Drosophila melanogaster: one gene and its partners. The gene in region 1 interacts genetically with each later gene. Each region holds a gene or a part of one and is shown on either strand. Other genes may lie near its edges. The genes, in order: Hsp60D, aos and grim.

Evidence for each region.
Region 2: of Hsp60D (region 1) and aos, changing one suppresses a phenotype caused by changing the other (phenotypic suppression), as found in Drosophila melanogaster (one study listed by BioGRID).
Region 3: of Hsp60D (region 1) and grim, changing one suppresses a phenotype caused by changing the other (phenotypic suppression), as found in Drosophila melanogaster (one study listed by BioGRID).

Annotation. Positions count from the first base shown.
Region 1 is NT_033779.5:13,447,025-13,451,011, forward strand, and holds Hsp60D (heat shock protein 60D), read right to left. Parts: upstream 2,474-3,987; 5' UTR 2,323-2,473; coding exon 646-2,322; 3' UTR 514-645; downstream 1-513.
Region 2 is NT_037436.4:16,480,637-16,485,567, reverse strand, and holds the start of aos (argos), read left to right. Parts: upstream 1-1,917; 5' UTR 1,918-2,491; coding exon 2,492-2,887; intron 2,888-4,931. Other genes in the region: CG33158 (uncharacterized protein), read right to left, coding at 1-131. UniProt on the Drosophila melanogaster protein: Regulates cell determination; development of ommatidia and optic lobe. Is a signaling molecule involved in the process of axon pathfinding in the eye. Part of the Ras pathway regulating programmed cell death in pupal eyes; activated by lozenge (lz).
Region 3 is NT_037436.4:18,302,217-18,306,306, forward strand, and holds grim (grim), read right to left. Parts: upstream 2,202-4,090; 5' UTR 1,884-2,201; coding exon 1,467-1,883; 3' UTR 503-1,466; downstream 1-502. UniProt on the Drosophila melanogaster protein: Activator of apoptosis, independent of rpr and hid, that acts on the effector Dredd.

The DNA of each region.
Region 1 (3,987 bases):
TTGGCCAGTTCATTGTGGCGTATACGTGATGCAAACTGACGCACTTAAGTGTCCCTAATCACCGTTAATGACAACGCTGTATATGCTCGCCCCATTGACATATAGAACCTCCTATGTAACGCCCATATATCATGATAAATAGGAATGCCCCTGCTGACATTTCCTCCCCCCACCCGCCAAAAACCCAAACTCAAGCCACAAATGCTTTCATATTTTGTTTGTTGTCCATTGGCACCCAAACAAAGCGCAGCAAATGGTTAAGGTCAAGTTGGGCGCGTGTCGAAGTGGAGGAATAGGAGTCGGAGGACGTCAAGTTATGACTGAGTGCTTGTGGGTGGCAAAGGAGCCGGATCCGGAGACTTCGGAATGTGAGGGGTCTATTGAATGTGGCATGCGTGCTCATATATGCTCTAATTAGGGATTCGACAAGGAAACAAGTCATAAATGGAAGGGAATCGACAAATACACTGCAAAAATAATAAAATGGGAAATGGAAATGTTTAAAATTATTTTGACAATGGCAAACAAGAAACTCAGAATTATTTTATTTTTTCTTTGTATTAACCATTTAGTTTTTCAACATAGAATTTAGGTCTTTTTATCATTACATAAAATGTTGTGTTTCTTCAAAACGCACTACCTAACCTACATTCCAACAAGTTTAGCAAGATCCTTGGTGACCTGATTTTTCGGAATCTTCGGTTTGGTGGGTTGTTTAGTGATGAGCACCTCGGTGGTGGCCAAAAGGGAGGCAATTCCTGCGGCAGACGTCATGGCTGATTGCAACACTTTTGTGGGATCCACAATTCCCCGGACCACAAGATCGCCGAATTCCCCAGCGGCGGCATCATATCCGTAGTTGCCACTGCCCTTTAAAACCCGACGTAGTACCTCGTTGGGGTCCACTCCAGCATTCCGGGCAATTGTATAGCATGGTAGTCGTAAAGCGTCCTTTACAATCTCCCTGCCAACCTGGAGCTCCATTATATCGGTTGGCGGCAACTCGTCCAGAACTGGAATACATCGTAGATAGGCGGTTCCTCCTCCGGGAACCACACCATCACTTATGGCCACTCGAACGGCGTGAAGGGCATCGTTGAAGCGATCCTTTCGCTCGCTCACCTCCAGCTCACTGGTACCGCCCACGAAAATGGTGGCCAGGTGGCCCTGCAAGCGACCAAGTCGTGTTTTCAGGCGATCCAGTTCCACATCGGTGAAAGCCTCATCGATCAGCTCACGAATGTCCTGGATGCGGCACTGCACCTGCTCCTCGTTCACATTGATCGGTTGCAATAGGTGCGTTTCCTTAGCGTCCACCACCGCCTCCATCACCTCACCCAGATCCTCCTCGCTGAGATCCGCCAGACTGGAGGCATCCTCCAGAAGATGGCCACCGGTGGCAAAAGCTATATCCTCCATTTCCTCGCACTGCTCGTCCCCAAAGCTTGGAGCCTTCACAGCACAGACCTGAACTCGACCTTGCAGATTATTTAGCACTAAGATCTTAAGCAAATCGCTACCAAAATTTTTGGCAATGATCAGAAGGGGTCGTTCTTTTAGTCTGGCCAGCTCGAGAGCGGGAAGTATCTGTTCCACTTGATCAATCTTAGCCAAAGTGAGCAGCAGCAAGCAATTCTCCAATTCCAGGGTATGAGATTGCTTGGCAAAGAATGGCGAATAGTAGCCCGAAGCGATGGTTATACCCTCCTGGATCTTAGCCTCATCGAAGGGACTGTGGGATTCCTTCAGCAGGATGACGCCGCTATCGCCCAGCTCCAAAATGATGTCACCAATCAGCTCCGCCAGCCGTTCGTCTCCATTCAGTGCCACCTTGGCCACTGCTTCCACTTGGCCAATAGTATCCACCGACTGGGACATCTCACCTAGAGCATCGCACACAGCGCGCGATCCCTCGAGAATGCCCTCCCGCAGGAGTTGGACGTTCACCTTGCTCTGGCGCAACACATGCATACCCTGGCAGGCTATTCCACGGGCCAGAATAGTGGCCGTGGTGGTGCCATCGCCTACCTTATTATTGGTATTATTGGTGGCCTGGCGCAGCAATTGAACTCCCATATCCTGCCGACGATTGCCCAGCTGCACGTTATTCGCCACCGTGATGCCATCCTTGGTGATCCGGGGCGAGATCAGCAGCTGTTCGATGAGCACGTTCCTGCCCTTCGGGCCCAGAGTGGTGGCCACCGCGTTGGCCAGGACGTTCACGCCCTGCATAAGCAGGCAGCGCGCCTCGGCTCCAAAGCGAATGTCATTGGCAAAGGTGCGCACACCGGCCCGACCACTCCGGCCCAATCTGCTCAGCATCCTGATTCCTTGATACTCACGTTGCTTGTCGCAATTTTGAGAGAACTTTTAATTTACGTTTATCAAAAGCTTTAACTGAAATTTAATTACCTTGATATCGGTAAAGTGTAGAAAATGTTAATCTGGAAAAGTTCGGTCATTTTTGAAGGGTAACTCACTGAAATATATATAATTACAACTTCGCGGTTTGTTGGTTTATAAAAAAAAAGTATTTTTATTGATCAAAAACTTAAGCGAATGTCGGAGACAAATTCACGTCTTACACAATTGAAGTATGAATAAAATCTAAATCTAATTTGCAAAGCGAACGCTTAGCAAACCCTTGGCTGAGCTTATTTACTTCTTCATATTGAGCGTACATAGGCTCTCATTTATGTTTACGTTAATTAGGCGCTCTCTTGAGTGGATTGCGCATGGATATAGATCAGCCGAGTTTGAGCTACGTGGAAAGTTTTGACCCTTAAAGCTGTGTTAGCAGTTTTGACCCTCTGGTGGGAGTCGCGAATGCGGCTGCGGATGTTTATGTCTGTTGGATTGGGTGCCTTCTTGAGTGGATCACTCATGGGTACTGATCAGCCGAGAACTTGAGCTGCGTAAGCGGTTTTGACCCTTTGGTGGGAATAACTGATTCGGCAGCGGATGTTAATGTTTACATTAGGGTAGGCTGGATTTGTTATTGTCACCAGAATTTGGGTTCTTATTGGATACATGATTTTATGACTTATATCCTAAGGCATTCTATGATTTTGTGTATGGCTGTTCCTATGTGGTTATGTATGTGTGTGTGTGTGTAAGTATATGTGGTCTTATACTATGGCACATATGCTACTTCCCCATCCTTTAAATTTAGCCTGTCCTCAGGCGGATATTCTAGGATACAATACAGGATTAGTATCAAATACTGTATTTATATTTTCTGTTGTTGTGTTATTTTGTTGTTCTATTTGTTGTGGATTCTCTTTTTTATATTTAACAATTAGTTTTTTGGGAATGCCTTTATATTTATAAATAAAATATAGTATAAGTGTAAGTATTATAATAGCAAGTATAGTTAATGTAATAATTTGTAATGTGTTGTATGTATTAGTGTGTTCTTTAATTATTTCTTTAGCATTTAGATATGATAATGGTTCTAATTTTGTTACATTGTTATTGATATAGACCGTTTGTGTGTAGTCTAGTGTTGTGCTTGTAATTAATATGTTTTCTATTTGAACAGAACAATTAAAAGCTTTTATTATATTGTCTCCTTCTATTATAATTTCTCTATTAATTATACAGTTTTGATTTAATACAATTTTTGATAATTTCCAAGTTAAAATTATGTTTGGTTCTACATAAGTTATTCCAATATTGTTATGTGTTTTTGAATATCTGCATTCTGTTGGTATTTGATTTAATATTCCTGTAATACATTTGTTTATTATTGGCTTTCTTGAGTTTTGTTTGTAAACTTGATTATCTTGAATATAATATTTATCATTTACATTTTCTATAAGTATATTATTATCTTTGTCTGGATATGGTATGATGTTAAAAAGTGCAGTTTTTATAATGTCTCTAGGAATATGGGAAATAATAAGTATTTCATTTGCATCTGATTTTAACCAAGTAGAAGTTTTTATATTTAGCAATTTTTCGGAATTTACATGTGATAATGGATCA
Region 2 (4,931 bases), on another chromosome or scaffold:
CATCTCCTGGGCGAAATTGAACGACTCGATCACCGGCAGCAGACAGGTGACCGCGAAGTTGCCGCTGCCCTGGGTCAAATCGCCGGAGAGGATTTTGCCGTGCCGCCGGCCAATTACCGCGTACATTTTACCTGCGAATGATAGAAAAAAGAGATACGTTCTTTGATCAGCTGTTGGTCGTTAGCTAGAAATCGAATTGGAAAAGGTTAAATGGAACAGGGAAAAGGGAAACCACCTCCAACTAACAATGGCCGCCTTTCAGTTGGAGTTGTCGGTTCTGCTTAATGCTCCTATATCGCCAGCTCTTTCTTGTGTTCTTGTATTGTTGTTGTTTTGGCTATTGTTGTTGTTTCTGGCGCGTCTCAAGGTAACTCGTAAACAAATGAAATCTTATCGGGTTTGGCCCATAAAATTGGCGGGCTTTCTGCCGAACCTCGCGCGTTTTTCGCTTGAACTTCCAAGCTGAAGATGGAGATGAAGATCGTTTCCAGGTCTCTCTCGTACTCTCCATATACACTATCTTGGGGCATTCATATTTTTTTTAGAAGAATATTGAAAGGAATAATCACAAAGGAACAACCCAAACAAAAAAAAAAAGACTAACGAAACAGACTTTTTTGAAAACCTCACAAATTGACAATCAAGTTATCAAAGGCACGCCAAAAATACGAAACTTTTTTTTTAACATTGTTACATTACTTTTACATTATAAATGTATTGTAGTATAAAAATTGGTGTTAAATAAACATTACATTTTCTTGCAACTCTCAAGCATGTATTACTATAAAAGTTTATTGATAGACCCAAATCCATTTAAACTTTATGATCTGTAATTACCAAGGTAATTAGCGGTTTATTAGCCGATTTTATAAGCCAGTTCGCCACTAAAGCTTTGTTTCGAAGGGCATTTAAAGCATCGACTTTAAGCTCGATCTTCCTTTTGTGTTAAACTCTTTTCTGGATTCTTCTCCAGTTGTTCTTTTTTTGGCATGCGCTACAAGAATAAGGCCCAAACATGAAACCATGGCAAAAGGAGAAGGTTGAACGATGAAGGCCAGGAGGAGGCGGCGGCCCAAGTCCAGGTCGTTGTGGCTAAGGCAGGAATTAGTTTCCGGTGCCGTAGTAAAAATGACAAAAACAACACGGCGGCAGCAAAAACGGCCGAAAGGATGCAACGGAAGCGGCAAGAGCCGCTTGGCTGCGAAGTCCCCTTTTAATTTTTTGTTATTTTGTTGTATTTTATTTCGTTGTTGCTTTTGCTTTTGCTTTAAGCCAAGCACGCGAGCCAGAGACACCTTGCCATCCGCTCGCTCTCACCAATACAGCCGCGCTTAGTCACAGATGCATCTCACAGATGCGCGCACGCACACAGGCGCAGCAGCAATGGATGCTGCAACCACCAGCGGAAAAAGGCAGCAACAACATGTTCATTCATTCATATCCAGCCCACTCTCTTTCGTGTTCTCTCACGTTCGGACGCTGCCGCTCATGCACTGGGAACAAATTCGGTTGACCAAATATGTGAAAAGACAACAGTGGGTTCAAAAGACTGCTTTGAATACTTTTTGCGTAACACACTTTCTCTTTTAAAGATTTCGTACTACTTATGATTTTACCTCTTTGTTATAAGATAATAACATTTTTTGTTAGATGTACATATTTATTTGATTGAAAATTTATACTACTTTATAAAAATTCTTATACAACCAATATAATAAATAATTACATTTTATTGAATTGAGAATAATAAACAAATTTTTTTTTTTTTTATATTACTATTAATTTCTCTGTTTAATCGAGCATTTTCTCTCAGTGCACAGACACGCACATACCGGCAGCGACGCGAGCAGCGCACTTCTCTGCCGGCTTCAACGGCTCTCGTTCGCCGCGCGCTGTTCGTTTTTGGATTTTCTGTTTGATCAGTTCGAAAAGTGAGTTGGTCGAGCGAACAACGATAGAGCGAGGGCAGAGTAACCGAGGCGATACGATACGATATAATATAGCATCGGTACCATTGGGTATACGTTCCAGGAGCGAAAGAAAAGACGAAAACGAGACGAGACGAAAGGCCACCGGAGACAGCGACGTCGCGGGTGTTAAGTTACTAAATAGCAAACAGAAACTACCGACCACCGACCGATTGCAGTGAATGAAATATCCAATAATTTCGAGTGACATTCGCCACAAATCAATCGATCGTTCGATTTGAAACCTGATTTGTAGAGTTCGTTTCTGCCAGTGTGTGTGTGCATGTAAGCCATGGGTTCTGGGCGAGCGAGTGAGATAGAGCGAGAACACTGATTCGACTCGATTCGATTCGATTCGATTGGATTTGATTCGAATTCAATTACAAAATTCATTGAGTGTCAATTACAAACCGCAAGAAAACAACACGCACGGAGATTCGGAAAGATCCCAAGATCCAAATACAAGATCCAGATCCAGATTCTCGAACATCCAGAGATCCCAGCCAGAGTCAGAGTCATAAATCATGCCTACGACATTGATGTTGCTGCCGTGCATGCTGCTGTTGCTGCTGACCGCCGCTGCCGTTGCTGTCGGCGGCACGCGACTGCCGCTCGAGGTGTTCGAGATTACGCCGACCACATCCACAGCGGACAAGCACAAGAGTCTGCAGTACACCGTCGTCTACGATGCCAAAGATATTTCAGGAGCAGCGGCAGCAACTGGAGTGGCGAGCAGTACAGTGAAGCCCGCCACCGAGCAACTGACCGTTGTGAGCATTTCCTCCACAGCGGCTGCGGAGAAGGATCTCGCCGAGTCGCGGCGACATGCGCGACAAATGTTGCAGAAACAACAGCAGCATCGCAGCATCATCGGCGGCAAGCACGGCGATCGGGATGTGCGCATCCTCTACCAAGTGGGGGTGAGTAGCTAGCAAGTACTAAATTCATTTGATTAGCCTGGCTAATTGCATGTTTGCATTGATCGGTGGGGCTAAGTAAAAAAGCATAAAATAAAACACAAGGTACCAATGAAACCAACAACTGGCAATGGCAGGTTGCATAATGCAGGCAACAACGTCAGCAGACACCTGTTCAACTGGTTGCCATTTGTAAAATGCCCACGCCAGCGGTATCAACGGCAACAGCAGCATCTACACAGAAAACAATATTGATCGATTAGATAATTTCAGTCAAATTAGGGAAAAGCAGATCGGCTAACGGTCTGCCATACCAATTTATCAAAGAACTCTCAAAACAGTCTCTTATCTTCGGATTTGTAGCTTAATCAATTAATCAGTCAAATGTATTATAGCATAGATATATCTTAAATGTCATCGCGCAAGTCAACCTACGATTTCTTTCTCTGCACAGCAGGTTTTGCAATGCAACTTTTTTGGGCTGGGTCCGAGTTTTAGTTCGTTATTTTTACATATTTTTTTGCTTTTGTTCAGAAAACTCTGTCTATATTTAGCAGCCGCCCTATGGCCATTACACTTGACACCCACAAAACCACTATTCATATATCACCATACGCATATGGCACATTTAATTGCAGCGGCCACACTCGCTCTAGATGAAAAATGAAAGTTGTTTGCAGTCGGAGAGCTCAACACATCAACTGATCTGTCGCATTTGATCAATTAAAGTCGCAATTGCCATACAACCGAACGATATGAGCGATACCAAAACCAATTAGCCGGGCGGGTCAAGAGTTCAATGCTGGCTATTCATGACTAAGCCGACGGTACACCAAAAAGTTCTTGCCGTTATCTTTCCCCTTAAATCCGCTACAATGCGAATTCAGATCATAGGTCACCGCGGTTCCATTGTTCTCACTCCCGATCTGGCCATAAATCAAGTGTCCATTGAGAAAGAGAGGGGCTTGGATCGGTCATATATCATGTATCGTATATCTATTATGTCAAATGTCATACGACAGAACACGCCCTGAAAATCGAATTCTTGCTTGATGTTTCTACGAGGCCGAGGCGTGAAGTATCAACCCAATAGTAATCAAAAGCAAAATATTGACAGCATAACCAAGTCAGCCAAAGGGGCATGGCAGCAAAAAGGTTCGACTTAGAAATACCCTTGCAAAGGATCACTAACTAAGTGTGTAATAATCGGCGAGAAATTACCAATGCAAGGAAATTCTTAACTTTCTATCAGTACATGTGTAACAAGTAATAATCATCAAAACATAATCATGGTATAATTTGTAACTTTATAAAAAGCCCAAGCGTATCCTTAAACTTCTCACCCAAGTAGATAATACCATTTTAACCTTCTTTCAAGCCAAGGCGTTATGGTTCGACTTGGTTCATAATTTTTGTAATCCGAATGCATGCAATAAATTTTGGAACGCATATACATATAAAAAAAAGCATAACAAAGCAGCATCACAACACAACACCTTAAATAGACAAACAAAAAATTGAGCAGAGAATTCCTGTTGTTTGGAAACTTGCAATAAAAACGCCTTATTGGAGAATAGAACACAACGGAATAGATCCACAAAAGGCTGTGAATGAGCAGCCGGAAAGAGAGGCAAATAGCCAAATGGAAAGAGACAGGCGCAGGGGAACGAAAGAGACGGAGGGAGGAAGGAGGCTGGGAGCGAGGGAGATGAAAGTTTATAGAAGAAAACAAAAAGTTCCCATGCTTAAAAGCGCTAAACATTCAGTTCCGGTATTTAAAAACGTTTTCAACAGCCACGACTGAGACGGGGATAGAAGGAGACGGCAACAGCGGGGGGAGGGAGGGAGACGGGTAGACGGGGAAGACCTGAATGAAAGAAAATTCATGAATGAAATACGACCACGACGACTACGAGAAGTCGATGATGATGGTCATAATGACGGTGGTACGGTTTGGTATGGTGTGGTATAATGGGTGAAATGGAGGGGAGTCAGGGGCGCGATGCGGTGGTGCATGTGTGAGTGGCTACACTGAGCAAAGTTCTTT
Region 3 (4,090 bases), on another chromosome or scaffold:
TTTAACCCTTTTGGGTGGAGTGTGCCTGGCATGACACGACGGGAAAATTCTCTGTCTGCCCTTAACCAAAAATGTGTTTTCCCTTTTAAGGTGACATATTGGTTTTGACGATAGCGATCGCTAAATGTTTGCTTACTCCGCCTTTTCCTGGCAGGACGGTTATCCTTTGCCATTTCATTGCCCAAAATGGAATACAAAGGCTTAATTCATAAGCGGTTATTAAAAGAGTGTATTAAACAAAATTTCATATTATTTTGACGTATTTTTTTATAAAAACTTTGGTGAAACAAATAAATATTCTTTTGAATTTATTTTAAAAACGTTTTAGTTTATTTTTAAAATATTTTAAAAACGCTTCGAATAATTTTTCAAAAACATTTTAATAGAGTTCTACACCTCCGAAATAAAAGGTAATTAAATATATATATCTCGGCAATGGTGTTGGTAAAATTCTTTATGTTTTTCTGAAAAGGGACAATAATAATCGTTCAAAGTATTTTTTAATTTTTTATAAAATTGTATTTATTTTTTGCTTGTTTGTCTTATAAAAATTTTAATTTCTTACAAATGCTATCTTTACATGTGATTAATTTCAATATTTCTTGTTTAATTTGCAATGCCAAAATTAAAATAATATGTTTTGAATTTTGCTAAAATCAATAATAATGATAAGATACATTTCAAATTTTGTTATTCTTGATTATTCGTATCAAAATTGCTTAAATGTTTGTTGTTGTTTTGTTTAATTTTTGTTAAAATGTATTCTGTTCGGCGGTTCTTGTATTCTATTTTTTGTAGACGTTTTGTATTTTCTCTCTTTGTTGTAAACATATAAAATTTGCTGTTTGCTTAAAATCTATTTTGTACAATTGAGTTGTTGTCTTTTGTTATTCTTGTTGCTGCGGTTGCATCTTTGTTTTGTTGTTGGTTCTGTATTGTAGTTCTGTAATATTAGTTTACGATTTATATTTGTAAGTAGTTGAAATGTAGTTGAAGTAGTTGAAGTAGAAAATTTGACAATTATTTGTTAGTTGAGTACGATACTTGTGGTTTTGCTCATACGTATAGACACTAATAAGGTTTATGACAATTTTACACATTTCTCTTTATGCTCTCTAAATGTTGTTAAGTATGTTTATGTATTTGAACCAACCGGGAAACCTTTGCTTGCAAAATTAAACATTTTTTCAAAACTTATATCGGAAAATTTGACATCCAAAAAAGTAACAAACAACCAAAATCACTTTAAGCAAGTCGATGACAAATTTTGAATTTTCTCTCTCTCAAAAATAGTTTAAAAATAGTTTTCTTATTTTGTTGTGGAAATATCCCATGTTTTACAAAACTCGTTCCTCCTCATGTGTCCATACCCAAAAAAGAAATCACAATGCGCTTTGATTGAGCCTGCCTTTCCCAGAAAATCCCAAAGATTTTCTCTCCACCAGGATGAAATATGGAAACCAAATTTAGTTCTCCTTGGAGGTGGCATCAGTCACGTCGTCCTCATCGTTGTTCTGACCGCCGCTGCTGATCTCGAAGGATATCTGAATGACCGTCGGTTGACGCTGGCTCGAACTGTAGCTGTAGATTCGCAGAGCGTAGCAGAAGATCTGGGCCAAAAGATCCCAGCATCCAAACTCCGACATGGTCATCGATCCCTGTTGACTTCCCAGCGGCACGGAAATATTGGCACGGAATTGTGGGCGCTGTTGCTGATGATGATGTCGCTGCTGCTGCTGCTGTTGTTGCGATTGTTGCTGCTGCTGCGATGGTGCAGCAGCTGTTGCAGTTGTCCTTGGACTCGCTGCTGTCTGCTGGCCGTTTTGCTGATAGCTTCTGGCCAACAATTGGGCCTGGTCGGGTATGAAATAGGCGATGGCCATGGCGGTATTTAATTTAATACAAAATGTGATTTTACAAAACGTATGAATCTTTAAAAAAATATATAACTTTAGTGTAGCATATATTTTTAATGTTTGATTTCAATATCGCTGAGGAATAATATATTCCATTCACTGCTTGCACTTTAAGTCTTGTAAGTCTTTATGTTTCGTATCGAGCACTTGGAAAATTTTTCTGACTCATTTGGCGGGAAAACGAACGAGGAAACTTGTCGCTTTTTGACGAACTTTCAACTGCGCTTTTCGCTTCCGCTTGTTATTCAATGTTCTCTCGTCGAGGTTTCAGAGTGGACTGACTGTAAATATCCTTGCTGCAGTCACATTTATAAAATAGCTCTCTTTGTACTTTCCTATAGGAAGCGAGTTCCTCTCTCGCAGTGAATGTCACCCTCCCAATTTCCACCACCCCCCGGGAGTTTGTGTGTATTGTGTGTGTGCTTTGTTTATGCCAACAACCAACCAATTGAACCACCAACCACAGGAACCCACACCACTGACAATGTGCCACCACCACCGCCAGTTTACCACCCCAAAGACACGGCTGCCTTTGTTACCTTTACTTCGGAACTAGAAAGGGGGTGGGAAAGTGGCTGAGAAGCGGTGAGAGACTCGGGAAATGAGAGCGGAATTGGGGAAAATCATTTCACGTAAGAGTGCTACGTCAAATAAAACGTAAGCTCTTTGGGATTTCGTTGTTCGAAGCGCGGCATCGAATTCATTTCGAATTTCAGGGGTTAACTTGGGCGTACTTGCTCTAGCTGAGTCTAGCAATTTTGAGGGGAAGTTTGGTCGTCGTATGCTCATTTCGAATTTCGAACTTGGATTTCACTACGGATGAATCAACAATTGTTTGTTATGACATTTTGGTTCGCATAGAAACTGATTTTTGGTGATTAAATGCAATTTAATCTTGCTTATTGTACCTATTATTAGTATAATTATTATTTTCAATATTCATTAATGGCAAACAAATTTATACCAGGGACCAACGAGATCTTTTCTTACATTGTATCACTTTGGGTTATTTATAGTATACTTCTTTACATACTTAATATATTTCAAAACAGCGGAGTCTCCTTCACCTAAAATCTCTTGGAACCACTAACCCGCTTTCAAGTTAAGCATCCTTCAACTCAAAAAGCTTGCACGGCAAATCTTTGATGCGAAAACCTTGCGTAATGGTCCTTGAAGATTCCCCCTATTGCAGCCTTAAACTTGACCATAACAAAGGGCACCCAAATGGATTGACCTTCAAGCTAACGCGAATCCAGCTCCCTCAAACATTATGCTGACGACAATTTCAACCTTGGAAAATGTTTGATCCCAGCTCCCCCATTTTCCGTTAGCTGCAGCTCATCCATTATGATAAGCTGTTCCCGGATAGTTGCAAAGTCAAGAAAGCAGTGGCTGTGGTAGAGGGGTATGAAGAAAGTATACTTATGCAAAACTGATTATAAGAAAAATTGAGAATAATTTTTGGGTATAATTTCATGAAAAAATAAATTTTATCAATAATGTAAATTTATTGAATTTGTTTTATATAATTTATTTACAATCATGATGAATTAAAATCTTACATATGGAATAAATCATAATAACGATTTTTTTTAATTAGACAAGTATATTGTATTATCTCCTCCTCTGTCCCAAATGTTCAATAAATGTCATTTAACACTTTAACATTCCAGAAAAGGACTTCCAGGGAGCGGAAAGCATAAAGCCAATTGAGCTTATTTCCTCCCCCTATGTAACATTTTTGCTGAGGGAGCTCCAACAAGGCCATCGCCAAGGCCAAGTCCGCCACTTGTGGGTGATGTTCCACAAGTCTCCTACCGGCAAAAGCTTTTTATTTCTCACCCAACTGGCTTCAAGGTCGTGCCGGCCGGCATTTCCACCCACATTCAGCTTTTCCTCTTCATTTTTGTGCGTGCGACCTTGACAATGAAATTCGTTTAGGGAGCACAGCTCCTCCAAAGAAAGTGTGGGTGAGCTTTTCCTGACACAGTTGACAGCACGTGGTCGTTATATTCTGGCATATATATAAATGTCAAGCTCAAGGTCGCTGGGTATCGATTTGCCGAACTTGGAGGGTCTGTATTACTTACCATAAAAGTTATGGGTTGGGGGTAACTTTGCTTATAAATGGTGTGCGGAAAATGAGGTGAAATATTTTTAAAAACAAAACAAAA